Coturnix japonica: one gene and its partners. The protein of the gene in region 3 interacts with the protein of the main gene of each other region in a biochemical or structural test. Links are inferred from orthologs where the notes say so. Each region holds a gene or a part of one and is shown on either strand. Other genes may lie near its edges. The genes, in order: CRKL, PTPN12 and BCAR1.

Evidence for each region.
Region 1: the proteins of BCAR1 (region 3) and CRKL interact in a test that uses a peptide from one of them, tested with the Homo sapiens proteins (2 studies listed by BioGRID, with this or other methods). The link is inferred for Coturnix japonica from reciprocal best matches to the Homo sapiens genes BCAR1 and CRKL.
Region 2: the proteins of BCAR1 (region 3) and PTPN12 form a complex in vitro, tested with the Homo sapiens proteins (3 studies listed by BioGRID and IntAct, with this or other methods). The link is inferred for Coturnix japonica from reciprocal best matches to the Homo sapiens genes BCAR1 and PTPN12.

What each region holds. Positions count from the first base shown.
Region 1 is NC_029530.1:7,290,904-7,295,233, reverse strand, and holds part of CRKL (crk-like protein), read left to right. Parts: intron 1-2,049; coding exon 2,050-2,184; 3' UTR 2,185-4,330. UniProt on the Homo sapiens protein: May mediate the transduction of intracellular signals.
Region 2 is NC_029516.1:11,312,737-11,317,225, forward strand, and holds the end of PTPN12 (tyrosine-protein phosphatase non-receptor type 12), read right to left. Parts: intron 4,295-4,489; coding exon 4,264-4,294; intron 3,478-4,263; coding exon 3,361-3,477; intron 2,794-3,360; coding exon 2,732-2,793; 3' UTR 1,461-2,731; downstream 1-1,460. UniProt on the Homo sapiens protein: Dephosphorylates a range of proteins, and thereby regulates cellular signaling cascades. Dephosphorylates cellular tyrosine kinases, such as ERBB2 and PTK2B/PYK2, and thereby regulates signaling via ERBB2 and PTK2B/PYK2.
Region 3 is NC_029526.1:680,794-686,049, reverse strand, and holds the start of BCAR1 (breast cancer anti-estrogen resistance protein 1), read right to left. Parts: upstream 3,241-5,256; 5' UTR 3,209-3,240; coding exon 1,856-3,208; intron 1,323-1,855; coding exon 1,173-1,322; intron 1,027-1,172; coding exon 919-1,026; intron 726-918; coding exon 1-725. UniProt on the Homo sapiens protein: Docking protein which plays a central coordinating role for tyrosine kinase-based signaling related to cell adhesion. Implicated in induction of cell migration and cell branching. Involved in the BCAR3-mediated inhibition of TGFB signaling.

The DNA of each region.
Region 1 (4,330 bases), on a different chromosome or scaffold from region 3:
GGAGCATATGCAGTTTCCTGTTGGATTTTGACTGTCGTAGTGAAGCTTTCTGAATTCGAGTCTAAAACCTGGAACTCAAGTTTGTCCTTAAAAGTTACTTAAATCTAGCAGAGTAACACCGAGTTATTTATAGATGTTATCAGCCTTTTCCTAAAGAGGCTTTTGTTAGGTTCCTGTTTAAGTCATCGTGTTACTATATAAAGCTTTCTCTAGACTTTCCATTTAATGAGAAGTCAGACAAATTGTGCTTTTTCTCAAACACACCATCAAGACAAGCTGCAGCACTCCAAGAAGAGATGGAAACCAGCCACACTGATGCTACAGGAGCATGTAACTATCAGGCAGTGTATCACTACTTAGAGGATACACAGACTTTATCTTTTAGTTTACATACGTGAAGATGACAGTTGAAGAAAGTCCCACAATTATCACAAGAACGTATAGGAGTTCAGAGAGGATTTTCCTCTCTGGAAAGTACAACATTGTTCCACATGTGCCATCTGGAACATCTAGATGGGAAGTGGAAAAAACCTCTAAGTAGCGGTAAAAGCAGGGCAAGAGAGTGGGGTGAACATAATTATTATCTAACTCCATTCTAATATGCTTACATTTCTGAGAAATCTTCAGAGCTACACATTGCTGAGCGAGTGCCAGAGTTGAGTGTAACATCTTAAGTCTCACTTAAGGGTTAGGAATGCTTCTGAGCAATCTTCAAATAACGCTTTATTGCAGTAATGGTAACTACTTGCAGTAGGCTTTAGGAATATGTTTTGTAAAATCAGCCTTTTACTTTGAGTAAAGATGCACCCATCTAACTGAGAAGTTAGAATTCAAAATCCTTTGCCGAGGTCCTGAAACTACCTGTGTTAGTTCTACATGTCAGTGTTACTGAGATAATGCATATGAATTGTTATTATTGACATACTGTGTCTAACATGTTTTTCCCTCAAGAAGATCACAGCTTGTTGCCTCTGGAGCTTATAGAAGTTGGCTGCTGATGTGAAACCCGGCTGTGTAGTGCTTGAACCTCCTTTGGGGTAGAACCTTCTCAAGTGCTTACTGTTAGCTGTAGCATGGTTCTACCTTTTGTGCCCTCAGCTATTAGCTGCTGTTGTCACTTTTCTATACTTTACTATAGTTACCACATAGATGCAATTCAGTAAACAGGAAGGGAGATGCAATTAAGAAGGCTGCTGCAACAGGCCGCATGCTCAGCTCTTCTGAAACAGTTTAGGGGGAAATAACTATATAGTCTTCAGCACTGCCTGCTGTAGCACATTTTGCTTTATGAATTATCCTAATACAAATTAAACACAGCACCGAACAGAATAATTTACCACTTGAGCTGATGGCTTTTTCTTTTTTTGCTCGATCATAGCTTAGCTCTGCTCATCTTTGGCCAAATAGGAAGAGACGCAGTTGTGATAGGAAAGGCTCAACAAGTCACTGTTCCTGTTTCAAACTCTCTGATGGGAAGTGAAGGTGAAAGCAGCAAACCAAGCTAGAATTTGTGCATCTTAGACTTGGGAACACCTGTTACGGAATGCTTTTATCTGCTTTGGAAGCACAGCAGAATTGCAGAGAACTCCACCAGTTTCTTAGACCTTTACAGCCAGAACTGGAACTCTGAGTCTGTTTACTACAGGAATCTCTTTGAAAAAGATAATTTCCCTTTGAAATAAACCTGGTAATGCTGAAAACAAGTACTGTGCTCTTTTGAATGCTTGTTGCATCTCATTACTTGTGGTAGCTTTAGTGATGTCAGTCTGTCTAAGCTAAATATATTGCAGCATGAAGAAGCTTTTTTACAGGAAAAGGTGTGGTTCAGCAACTCATTGCAACATGTAAATATACATTCAGTTCAGCTGTCCCAAAAAGTGTACAGATTTCCAGCACCAAAGTGTTTGTATCAGTTAAAAACAACTGCTTTCCCTTTAAAGCTAAAGGTATTTTAAGTTACGAAGTCGTATTTTTTGTTCTTGTTTACTTGATTTGTATCAAAGCTGAGATTCTCATGTGTGCTAACAGGTGTTTTTTTTAATGCTGCAGGTTGGAGATATTGTGAAGGTTACAAGGATGAATATAAACGGTCAGTGGGAAGGAGAGGTCAACGGGCGAAAAGGGCTCTTCCCATTCACACATGTCAAAATCTTTGACCCTCAAAACCCAGATGAGAACGAATGATTCCCTTGATCTGATTTACACTGCTGCTTCCCTTTCCTGGCTCTCATTAGTGTTGTTTGAGGTGGGATGATGGCTAAATGGCACATTGCTAGCATTGCCCATTTTTCCAGCTTGCTGCAGTTTGACAGTTCTTTTAATACACATTTGGAATACATACAAACTGAAGTCACTGCCTGACCTTCATACCATAGATACAGCAACCAGAATTTGGTTTCACTTTTAAAACTGTATTGGGCCTTAAGCTGGAGAAGACTGAAGCAAATAGCAGACAAGCATGGGAAGAAAATCCTTCTTCTTGAAACTTCCATGGACTTGTTCTGGCCTGCTCAGTAGGAAGAGCCCTATCATAGAGCAAACATGCAACTCGTCTGTTACTGTCCAACAAAAAGCAACAACAAAAATGCAATTTTAGGACTGAAGAAAACTTAGTTTTAAGAAAACCTGCCCTAAGGTAGTACACTTACAATGATGGTCTCTTAAAAGGACATTAACTGAAGCTTACGTATTCTAAGCAGTTGCATTAGAAGCTGCTCATTCTGGTTAACTCTTAAGCTTGTTGACCTTCCTGGAAGTGTGTGTTAAATACAAATAACCATTGGTTGAGCTGCATTGAAGCTGAAGCATTTATTTATAAGGAAGCTTAGGAGGGGTTCACACTTGTAACCCATTTCTGACATAAAGTATTTCTGTTGATTTTGCAAGCACTAACTGTAATAAGTGAGCGTTAAAGGGAAACACTTTGACCTGGTCTACACAGAGCCCTTCTGCAGTGTTGGAAGTAGAGCTTTACTAATGTAGTAATGCTTGTCACCCAGCTGTTATTTGGTAGGCAGATGGATCAGATTGTTACAGCATGAAGAAGTACAAAAGGAACAGGACAGAAGACATTGGTAAATACTGATAAATTCTTACTATTTAAACATAAACCTTTTATACCTGTTTCTCTATAGTCTCCCTTATTGCTCTCAAGTTTCCTGGCTATACCTGCCCCAACTTGCTGAAGGCTTTGAACACAGTACCTTTTTCTCCAGGGTATCTCCACGTTGCCGTGCTCCTCTTCCAGAAGTTCTTTCTTCTTTCATTTTCTTCCCCTCACATCACAAGTCATTCACATGCTGCAACCTTTCACCTTCCAAAGGAGTTGGCTCTGGCTTATATACATATGCCCCAGACCCCTCCTACTCTCAGCTTCCTCTAGAAAGTGGTTAATTGGAGTCAGCTGCCAAAGGTTTTACACCTGATAATTAAAGTTCATGCTGGAGGAGGCCACACAGGTGTCTCTTATCAATACAGCTTTCTCTCCCCTTTTCTGTACAAAAGCTGTACTGTTGTAATTGCACCTTTGGTAAGGAACTATATGGCTGTAGCTATGTGAGTCTTATCAATGCCACGCTGGTCAAGTTCTTAACCTGTTTACGGGATATGAAAGTTTAGGGACAGTAGTATCTTCTACCTTCTTTAAATGTGTTTTCAAGGTGAACTGGAACGTATTTTTTAAATGATTTGAGCACCAATTGAACAGAATACAGCCTGGATAAAGAAAAGCATCTGCTGCAGAAAACCAGGGATATCTGACAGGAAAACAGTAGTGCCCCAATGCATTCATTTCTCAATATCTGAAGCTATCCATTGTAGCAAAAAGAGAAACCTCAGACACCCGCAGAACCTTCCTGCTTCTTATAAATGTCAGTTTGATCATTGTCTTCAGATCCAGTGCATTTTCTTACTGATTGTGTCACTTGATCCTCATAAAAGTACATTGTTCTCACTCAGCTGAAAGTACCTTGAATGGAAGACACTGAAGAAGTGTAAGAATAGCATTTCCAACAAGAGATGTAAAATGCTGTTGTGTTTGTTTTTTTAAAGAAACTCGGTTCATCTGTTAGTTACCTTTTGTAGTATTAATCAAGTGGCTGACAGTCTAGAAGTTCTTGTAGAGCATTTTATTACAAAATTAACTGTGAAGTAGAGTAGCATTGACTGAAGTGTTTGGTGCTGTAAGAGTAATTCTTGACAATAGGCATCGACAGGTTGTCTTGCAACAAAAACCTATGCAGCTCTTAACTAAAGGAGGTCATGAATTTCTGTGCCCCGACTCCACCTGTACGTTTACTCCATGGATTGTACTACTGAAAAGTCATCTTGT
Region 2 (4,489 bases), on a different chromosome or scaffold from region 3:
CCTGGTATCTACATGGAACCTCCAGTGTTCCAGTTTGTGCCCAATGACTCCTGTCCCAGCACTAGGCAACACTGAAAAGAGCCTGGCTCCAGCTCCTTTGTGCCCACCCTTCAGGTACTGAGGGACATGGATGAGGCACTGCTGATCCTCCTCTGCCCCAGGCTGTGCAGGCCCAGGCTCCCAGAAGTGCTCAAACAAAGAAGTATTTCCCTGGATGTTCATAATGCCACATAGGAGCTGAGAGCACACAGCCCCCAAACTGAAGTTAAATCAGCCCATGGTCACGTTCTGCCCAACGTGTTCAAACCAAGGAGAATTGCCCTGAGAAAGTGAAGCAGCTTTCTGCCCACTGGGATCTACCGCCTGCAACACAGTGCATACACAAGTGTTAAAGCAGCAGAACGCTGCTTCCAGGCAGTACAGCCAAGGACTAAAGGCAGCTATTGTGGCAGTGCAGAGTTGGGAACCTGCTTGGAGGCTTTCAGCTTCAGAGCTGCTGAAGTGAAGCTGAGGATCTCCCATGACAAACTCAAATACCATATAACTCACACAAATCTTAGGGGGAAAACATGAGCCTAGATGGTCTGCACAGTACACGTGATTTCTGTCAGCCATGGTTCTGAGTGAGTCTAATGTGAAAAGTGGATTATCCACAATCTGTACAGTTCTGTATATTCCTGGTAGAGAGAAACGGAAATGACTCTGAAAGCACACAGCTAACATATATTCAGAAGTTTTCTTATGGAGCAGCTGCTTCAAGTTGTCGGTGCTTTGGACTGTCCAGAGGTAACAACAGCCCATCACAGAACTGCAGGAGGTCTGTGAGACCATGGGAGGCAAAGCTCATCTTCTCTGCACGGAGTGTAACACAGCTCGGGCCACCTCCATTGTGCAGGACAGCCCAGCTGTGCCAGCTGCTACAAAGCAGGCAGCCACTGCTACAGGTCAGCCCCAACAGCATCTGTGAGTGATTTTTTGTTAAATGAGTAATTGCAAAATCATACCTAGGGGGAGCTAAGGTGAAGGATTTATAGCACATTCAGCTCTTTGAAAGCTCCCCAGGCAGGCAGTGGTGAGAAACACGGGGATTTCTCTGCAGTCCAAAACAGTTATTGCAGGTTACGAATCTTTTGGACATGGTTGGCAGGGCTGCTACCCGGGCAGCAGTTCTCCTTTAGCAAAGAGACCCTAAAGGCACAAACAGTCAATTCAACACAGCATTTCCACGGCTAACGTTCACATTAATAGACGGCTCCTCTACCTAAATAAACATTTTTACTCTGAACATGTCAGGCATTGCTACAAGCCACAGCTTTAAGTCATTAACAGAGATGAAGTCCTGAGGATCGCTATTTGTATTCACACACAGAAGCTACAAGCTAAGCCAGGCTGCCACCCTTCCATCTGTTTTAGATTGCTTCTGAATACAGCTGTTTTCCTAAAAGTAAAAACACCCATACTGCAATTTTTACTTTCTTTAATTTAAAGATTCTATTACAGAAAAGTTTAAGTAAGGAATCCTTATAAGGATTAACTCTCGACGTAACATACTGCCAAGATACAGTGTAGCTGCAAGGGCTCTACTTGAACCTTCATATAAGTTGCTTTCTTACATACAGAGTCTCCGAAGGACAAAAATGGTACTTACCATTGAGAGAGAAGACAGCGGTATTTAACAGTCCTTTCAGTGTGTTCTGGTTTGTCCCAAATTAGAAACACGCCACATTCAAATGGTGAAACTATTCTACACAAAGTTGCCAGAGATGAGTTTTCTACAAATTGCAGCCGATGAAACATTCAAATGAAAACTAAGGAGTGTTGAAGATGTAGAACGGTTTCTCTTTTACTGGCAGGTCAAATATACTAGAAACATACAAATATTCTCCATCATCTAATTCCAGATGAACTCAAAACACTGAAGTAACATACACAGGCTAAGAGAATTCAATATTGTTCCAAGGCACTTACTGAATCTCTGTGACTAGATGAAAACCAGAACAAATTAGGTCTGACAATTAAACAGTATATAATATAAAAATAACCTTTTGCTTACAATTTACAAAATGTATTACAATCTTTATCTCTGCTAACCTGCAATTCTGGCTGTGTGTGTCCAGCAAGTTTGTAAAAAAAACAAAAAACAAAACAAAACCAAAACAAAAACCCCAGAAACTATTTTCTAAAACTTCAGGGCAAATAATTTACAAATAAGGTACACAAAAATTTAGATCATGCAGAGATTTCTTACATCTTCTGTTAATATTTTATGATTGCAACTTTATCAAATTATATACTTACTTGCCCTGTACATATACAAAATAATGCATACACGGTAATCAAACGTTAGCAAAAAGTAGTCCATAAACACAATCTGTCCCAAGTATTACTATATTAACATATGTCTACAAGCAGCGTGTAACAGGGTTAAAAGACATTAAGGCAATAATACTTGAAGTTACAAAATAAATCGTATGTAATACTTTCTCCTAAGTGTAATAAGGCAGGTAGATGGCCCCAGCAAGAAGTTAAGTTGTAATACTGGAATCCACTGTTGTGAACAATGTTTAAGGTTTTGCGTGGGATGTACAGTAAAGATGTACCATCTGGTAGTTAGATCTACTCTGCTCTGTGTTAGTTGCCCCCCAGAAAAGTGGAATACTATTTTTTCTAGTTCAGTGGCACTTGAGTTTTCCAGTATAATTTATTGATAGTGTGTCCGTAAGCTCTTGGATCATGTCCATTCTGAAGGCGGCTCTCTCGGTCCTCTGGGCTTTCCGCAGCGGTTACCAAAACCTAAAGAAACACAGGGGTTTAATACTGCTGTGCACTTCAACAACACAACCTCAAAGTGTTGGTAGCAGTCAGAAAGAGAGCTGTAAGATGTGCTCCAGCAGCTCTATTCTCAGGGCTAAGATAATGCTTTGTGGTACCAAGAACTCTAAAGGCGGTAAAGCCATAGAAAACATAATTATATACAAACTGCCCATGTCTGTATGTCGCTATTTAAACCAAAGCAGTTTTTCCAGATGTTACTTCTGAAAGTTTTCAATGCTCTGCAGAGGTTACATCATAGAATCGTAAGAACTGCTCAGGTTGGAAAAGACCTTAAAGATCATCAAGCCCAAAAACAACCCAACCCTCATTAAAAAGAATTATAAAGTGATTAATGCCCACCAACGCCTGCAGTTCTCATTCTGTGTAAAAGTGTTAGTGGCACTGATGGGCCGGAGCCAGCTGATTTGGTTGGGTTTTGCACACTGGTAAATTGGAGGAAGGCAGCAGCAGCTCTCTGAACCAGCACTGCTAATGAAATCTCCTGTTCCAATATCAAGCAGTCAGCTTTGAATGAACTGTAATTACCAATATCTGTTACATCTGTGGGAAGATCTGAAATTGGACCTCTTGGATCACTGGAACCAGAAAAAGGAATCTGAGGTAAAATATCCGTTGGCGTTTTGTTGCTTATTTCAGGACGACCTGGAAAACAAAGACGCAGCCATTGAATGCAGTGCTCATCCAGGCAGCACTTGGTGCTATTTTTAAGTACAGCTCAGTCCGGAACATTAAGTGCATCAAATACTGTTTACAAAAGTAAAGATTAAGCAGCACATTTTTCTAATCTCTTAAAAACACTCTTCAAAATCGTTCACATGCAGATGCTCAGCAATTCCAGTGACACGTCCCTGCTCACCAAATACAAAACTTCCATTTAATGAACCTTGAAAGGATATCTAAAAATCCCCAGAGGCCACAACGTACCATTTAGGACATCAATACAAACTCATCTGTCCATGTCATTTCTGAATGCAAGGTGCTTAAGGCCACATTCAGTAACTATGTATTGCATTATTTATATAATCACCTATTAGCTAACCTGGAATATTTTGAAAAACTATTTCACTGTTTAAAATTAGTTCTACCAAGCATATAAGACAAGCCCAAATGGACTGTAGCAGCTAATTTAAGCACACACAGAAGGTGCGTAGCAGATCAAGTAAGATCACAGCTGAATCCATTTGTTTGATCAGGTTCCTGCACCACTGAGCAACAGCTGATGGACTGCTCTCCTCACTGAAACCTTTATATATAGTTATTTTCTGATCTTCTAATAAAAATACACCCAATGCATCCTATCAGTTCTAAAGTTCCTTGAACTGTCTCCTCTTACAGGGGTGCTAGACAAATTGATTAGTGGAAAAAGCATTCTTTTTCATATTAAAAAAAAAAACAATAAAAATGGCCACAACCTTTTCCATCACTTACCAGGTAGTACAGGCGAAGCCGTTTTCAAACCCTGTAAATGAGAAACATTTACAATGGTTCTATTAAATGTTTTTCAGTAGTTTGAAGACATAAGAATATTAAGATTAAAATATCCTCAAAGAACATGAAATATCTGTGAGAATATCTGCTTATTCCAGCATTTAATACTTGCTATAAGACAAACAAAACGTTACAGTAGCTAACAAACACTTTACCATCAGGACTA
Region 3 (5,256 bases):
GCCTGGGCAGCGTTGCCCACTGCCCCCCGGGCAAACTCCAGCAGCTCCCTGAGGGCTGTTTGAACACCCTCGGCTGCCAGGCGGATGCCGGCAGCATTGGCTTCCATGTGCTCGGGGCTGCGCCAGTTGGTGCTGATGAAGGACATGAGGCTGGAGACGGCACCGCTGACGCCGAGCTGGAGCTTGGCCAGCATCTCCATGGCAGCATCCAAGTCCAGGGAGAACTCCCTGCCGGCTCCTTTGGCCGGCTCCTTTACGGGCACAGTGTCCAGTGAGGAGGTGGAGATGTTGCTGCGGGTGCTGCCCGTGCTGGAGGCCGAGAGACGCTTGGTGTCAGCTGCCTTGGCCTCGCGGTCCACCTGTGGTGGGACATCGTAGATGTACTCACCCTCCATGTCCATCGAGCCCTTGCTGGGGGCGTGCAGGTCCCGCGGCACATCGTACACCTCCTGCAAGGGGAAGGCCGACCCCCCCAGCTTCTTGAGGCTGGGAGGCACGTCATAGATCTCGTGGGACAACGAGGGCTCGGGGGCGGCTTTCCCAGCCGCTGGTGGCACGTCGTAGACATCCTCTGGCAGGTAGGAATCCTGCTGGGAGAGCACCGGGGGGTGGCGGGGGGGCTCGAAGGCTTTCTGCTTGGAGAAGGCGGGGGGCACGTCGTACGTCTCCTCCCGCACAGGGCCGTCTGGCACGTCCTTGCTGACGGAGGGTGGCACGTCATATACCTGCAAGGGCACCACCACGTAGTGTCAGTGCAGCTGGAGACACACATGCACACCAGCCCCGCTCCCCTGTGCCCATAAGAACAGCTCTGGGCGTGCAGTGGGCTCGTGGAAGGAGAGGTGCACAGCGCAATCCTGCAGCACCACCACCCTCACGTGTCTCTTTTGGTGCATGAGCTTCCCCTGCGGCACTTACGGTTTGGTGCAGGTTCTTCTCCACGCTGGGGGGCACGTCGTAGATCTCCTGCCCTGGGTCCTGCCCATTGGGACCCTTGACCGCCATGGGGGGAGTGTCATAGACCTGCTGGGAAGAGATGGGATGGTGTGAGGGGCAGGAGAGTGGCCCCAGCACACACACAGTGGAGACCACGGCTCAGCCCAGCACTGGGTGCCGCATCCCTGCAGCCCATCACCCCACAGCCCCACATGCAGCCCCACATCCCTGCTGACCTGGCTGGGTAATGCACCGCGTGCAGGTGGCACATCGTAGATCTCCTGTGAGCCCGAGGAGAGCAGGTGGCGGGGAAAGTCGTATTCATCCTTCTCAGCCTTGGGGGAGTCATAGACGTACGCCTGCCCCACGCGGGTGGGCAGCAGCACCTACGAGAGAGGGCAGGGCTGAGCCTGGCGCACCCCCCGCTGCTGCCCCCCGAGCCCATCTGGGAGCACCGTGCGGTGGGTGCCCACGCGAGGGCGCTCCCCGTCCGGCCTGGAGCTGTCACCGCTCCGTGCAGTGACGCTGGAGGGACGGAGATGAGATCACCGGTTATTTATAGCAGCCAGCCTCGGCTACAGACAAAGCCCGGCCGCACGGCCGCCCTGTGCGATGAGAATGGAGACCTGAAGGTTAATTGTGGCACCGAGGGACCCAGCGATGGAGGACGAGCCCAGACCCCCACCCGCATCTCGGTGCAATGTGGTGCGGCAGCCATAGGAGGTTGTGGGATGCTCGCAATCAATGGGGTGCCCTGCCCACGAGGCACGGTGCTCAGTGTCCCCTTTTTCCCACTGGATCTTCCAGGGAAACGCAGCTCATCTCAGCCAAAAGCGCTTCACTCCCCCCCTCCATAACCCCACAACAGACTGGAGCCCCACAGCATCAACCCACCGCCGTACCTGGACCCCCATCCTACCTTTCCAGAGGGCTTGGGCCCTTCCCAGCTCCTCGCATCCAAAGATGGGGGCACTTGGTAGATGTCTTGAGCCTGAGCCGAGGGAGGGACCTGGTAAATGTCCTGGGGGGGGCTGGCAGAGCCCGCAGGGAAAGCGTCCACCGCCTGGCTCAGGGACGGCGGCACCTGGTAGATGTCCTGCCCGGCGCTGGGGAAGCCGTGGGGCGGCGTTTGCTTGGGGTAGGATGGGGGCTGCTTGGCCGGAGCCGGGGGAAACTGTCCAGCGGGTGCCGAGCCCGAGTACAGGCCCTGCTGCCCCTTGCCAGGAACCGGCATCAAGTAGACGTTGTCCCCTTGTGGCGCGTAGGAGGGGTGCATGGCGGTGTACTGCGAGGCGGGCGACAGCGGCGTGTACCCCCCTTGGTGGTGGTACGGCAACGTGGGCTGTGGTGCTGGCGGTGCCTGGCCCTGCCCCGGCCCGGCCGCCTGCTGCTGCTGCTGCTGCTTCTTGTCGTACATCCCCACCAGGATCTTGAGGCGGTTCCCCGGCACGATGCCCTGCCGGCCGTGCAGCGAGCAGAGCCACCAGCCGTCCAGGCCCTGCGTGTTGCGCTCCAGCACCGTCATGATGTCGCCTTTGCGGAAGGAGAGCTCGTCCGGGGACTCGGCCACATTGTCGTACAGCGCTTTGGCCAGCACGTTCTGCAAGAGAGCCCCGCAACGGGCCGGGTCGGGACTCATCGCGGATGGACTCGGCGGCACCAAGGGCGCCCGGCACCCGACGCGGCCCCGGCGCTGCTCCTCCTCGTCCCGGTTCAACCCACCCGTCCCGGAGCCGGCGCCGGGACGGGGCCGGACCCCCCGCGCCTCCCGGTGTCGGGGACCTCCTCTGCCTTTCCCTCCCCTTCCCGCCGGGGAGGAAGTGCCATGGAGGTGACTCAGCCCGCACCGAGAATTCCCCCCCGGCCGCCGGGCGGGCACAGGGACACGCGTGTGTGTGTCCGTGTCCGTGTGTCCGTCCCGCTGCCGGCCCGTCCCGCCGGTGATGCCGCGTTGCCCCGCTCGGTGCCCCCTCCCTCCCCCGCTGTCCTTCCTCCTGCCGCCGCGCTCGGGTGGATCCCGCGGTGCCGGCAGCGCTGCGCAGCCCCGCAATGGCAGCGCCCCCCGCCCCCCGCGGGACGAGCCGTGCCCGGACCGGGCGGGCAGCGCCGACCCCGTGGCCGGAGGGGGCTGGGTCGGGTCGGGTCGGTGACGGCCGCGCTCGGTCCCGGAGGCCCCGTCCGGCCCTTCCCCACCCGACGGGCCCCGCTCCCGGCGCTCGGTCCCCGGCTGATCACGGATCCGCTCCGACCGCCGCTCCCGGCCCGGCCCCATCCGCCCGCCCCCGCCGCCCCCCGCTCCGTCCCGCAAGGTGACCCCGCTCACCAGGTAGTTCATCTTCGCCTGGCGGGCGCGGCCCCGCGGCGCTCAACGAGCGGCGCTACTGCGTGTCCGAGAGGCGCGGCCCGCGGCGGGCGGCCGGAACCGGGATGGCGGTGGCGGCGGCGGCGGCCGCGCCGGAGGGATCATTCCAGCGCCGTGCCAGCACGGGCCCGACCGCCCCGCCCCGCCCATGGGCCGCGACGCACCGACGGGAGGCGGCGCTGCGGCGGGAGGAGCGGGAGGGAGCGGGGCCGCGCTGGGGGCCGGCAGGGGAGGGGAGCGGGGGGGGGGGGGGGGGGGGGGGGGGGGGGGGGGGGGGGGGGGGGGGGGGGGGGGGGGGGGGGGGGGGGGGGGGGGGGGGGGGGGGGGGGGGGGGGGGGCGCGGGGCCGGGGCCGCGGTCCTATCGCCGCCCGTCGGGGCTCCCCGGCCCTTGTAGGGCTCTTCCTGCCCGTGGGAGGCACGAGGCCGGTCGGGCGCTGCCCGTCGAGCCCGCGATGCCGCCCCGCAGCCGTTCGTCCGCTCCCTCGGGGCCGGCGGAGCTGCGGTATCGTCCGCAGACCGCAGGCGGAACTCGGCGGCTTCCGCTCGGCGGTGATTGCGGGGCCAGCCCCGGGCACGGGCACCTCAACGGGCGGCAACACAGCCGGGACGTGCCCGGGGGAGCGCCCCGTGCTGCAGCAGCCCCGGGAGGTCGGTGCCCAAACGGAAACTAAAGGCTGCGGGACCCCGGAGCTGTGTGCCGTGTGTATGGGGACGGGCTGCTCACTGACGGCACAAGAAATGGCTTCAAACTAACAGAGGGAGCTTCAGACCGGAGCTAAGTTAGAGGTTCTTTACAGTCAGGGCGGTGAGGCAGTGGCACAGGCTGCACACAGAGCTGGTGCTGCCCCATCCCTGCACACAGCCAAGGTCAGAGAATGGGGCTGTGAGCACTGATGGAGCTGTGAGTGTCCCTGCTCAGTGCAGGACGCCTTTAGGATCCTTCCCACTCGAACCATTCTGCGATTCAATGATCCCATGACATGTCAGTGAGCCCAGCACACAGTGGGGCACAGCTCTGTGGGACCATCACATGTGGGAGGGGTGGCACTGTGCCCTGCGTGGGGCTGAAGCTGCCCGGTGGAGCAGAGGCCCCGCATGGACCCACACGGACCCACACGGACCCACATGGACCCACACGGACCCACACAGCTTTTGGCTTCTGGCTTTTGGCTGCTTCCTCGCGGCTCCATCCTTGGGAAAGCTGCCTCCCGCCCCCCGCAGCAGCAATAGGATTACACGGCACTGAGTCTCCTAGCAATGAACGGATAAATAAATCCTGTAAGGCAGCCGGGGATTTATTAGACTTCAATATTGGGGAAATAATGAGGACATTCCCGTTGGCTTGTAATATCACGGGACCCAACAGGATCACAACGGGGCTTTATCCCCTCGCCTTTCCAGGGGCAGAGATGTTTTGTCAGGCTGCAGATACAGCCCAAAGGGCTGCCCATGTCCTGCCACGACCCACAGCTCGTCCGGGGAGAAAACAGCCACGTTCCCGTTCTCTGCAGCCGCACAATGGGGAGGATGGGATGGATCCCACACGGGACCCCACAGCGGAGCCGTGGGGCAGGCGCACACAATGGCAGCCTTGTTTGGGGCCGAGCACAAGGGGCCGTTCAGCAGTGCCCAAACTGCTCCCAGCCCACGGGGACACGGCGGCCATTCAAGGGGATGCAGTTGGGGGCTGTGGGCCAGGCCCTCTGCGGGCAGGTGGTGCCAATAGCCAACAGAGGGCTTCTCTCCAACGCTTTATCCCTTTTTTTCCTCCCCCAGTTTTTTCTCCCCCAGTTCCTAGGCAGCCAAGCTGTGTTTTCTGGAGCCCTGTAAATCACTCTTCATCTTCAGGAAAGGGAGGCAAGAAACACATGATCCAAGCGAGGAAACATGCAGGACGCTGGGAGAGCTGGCAGAGGACAGCGGAGCTGAGTCCTGCGCTGGAACTGGAGCTGCCACC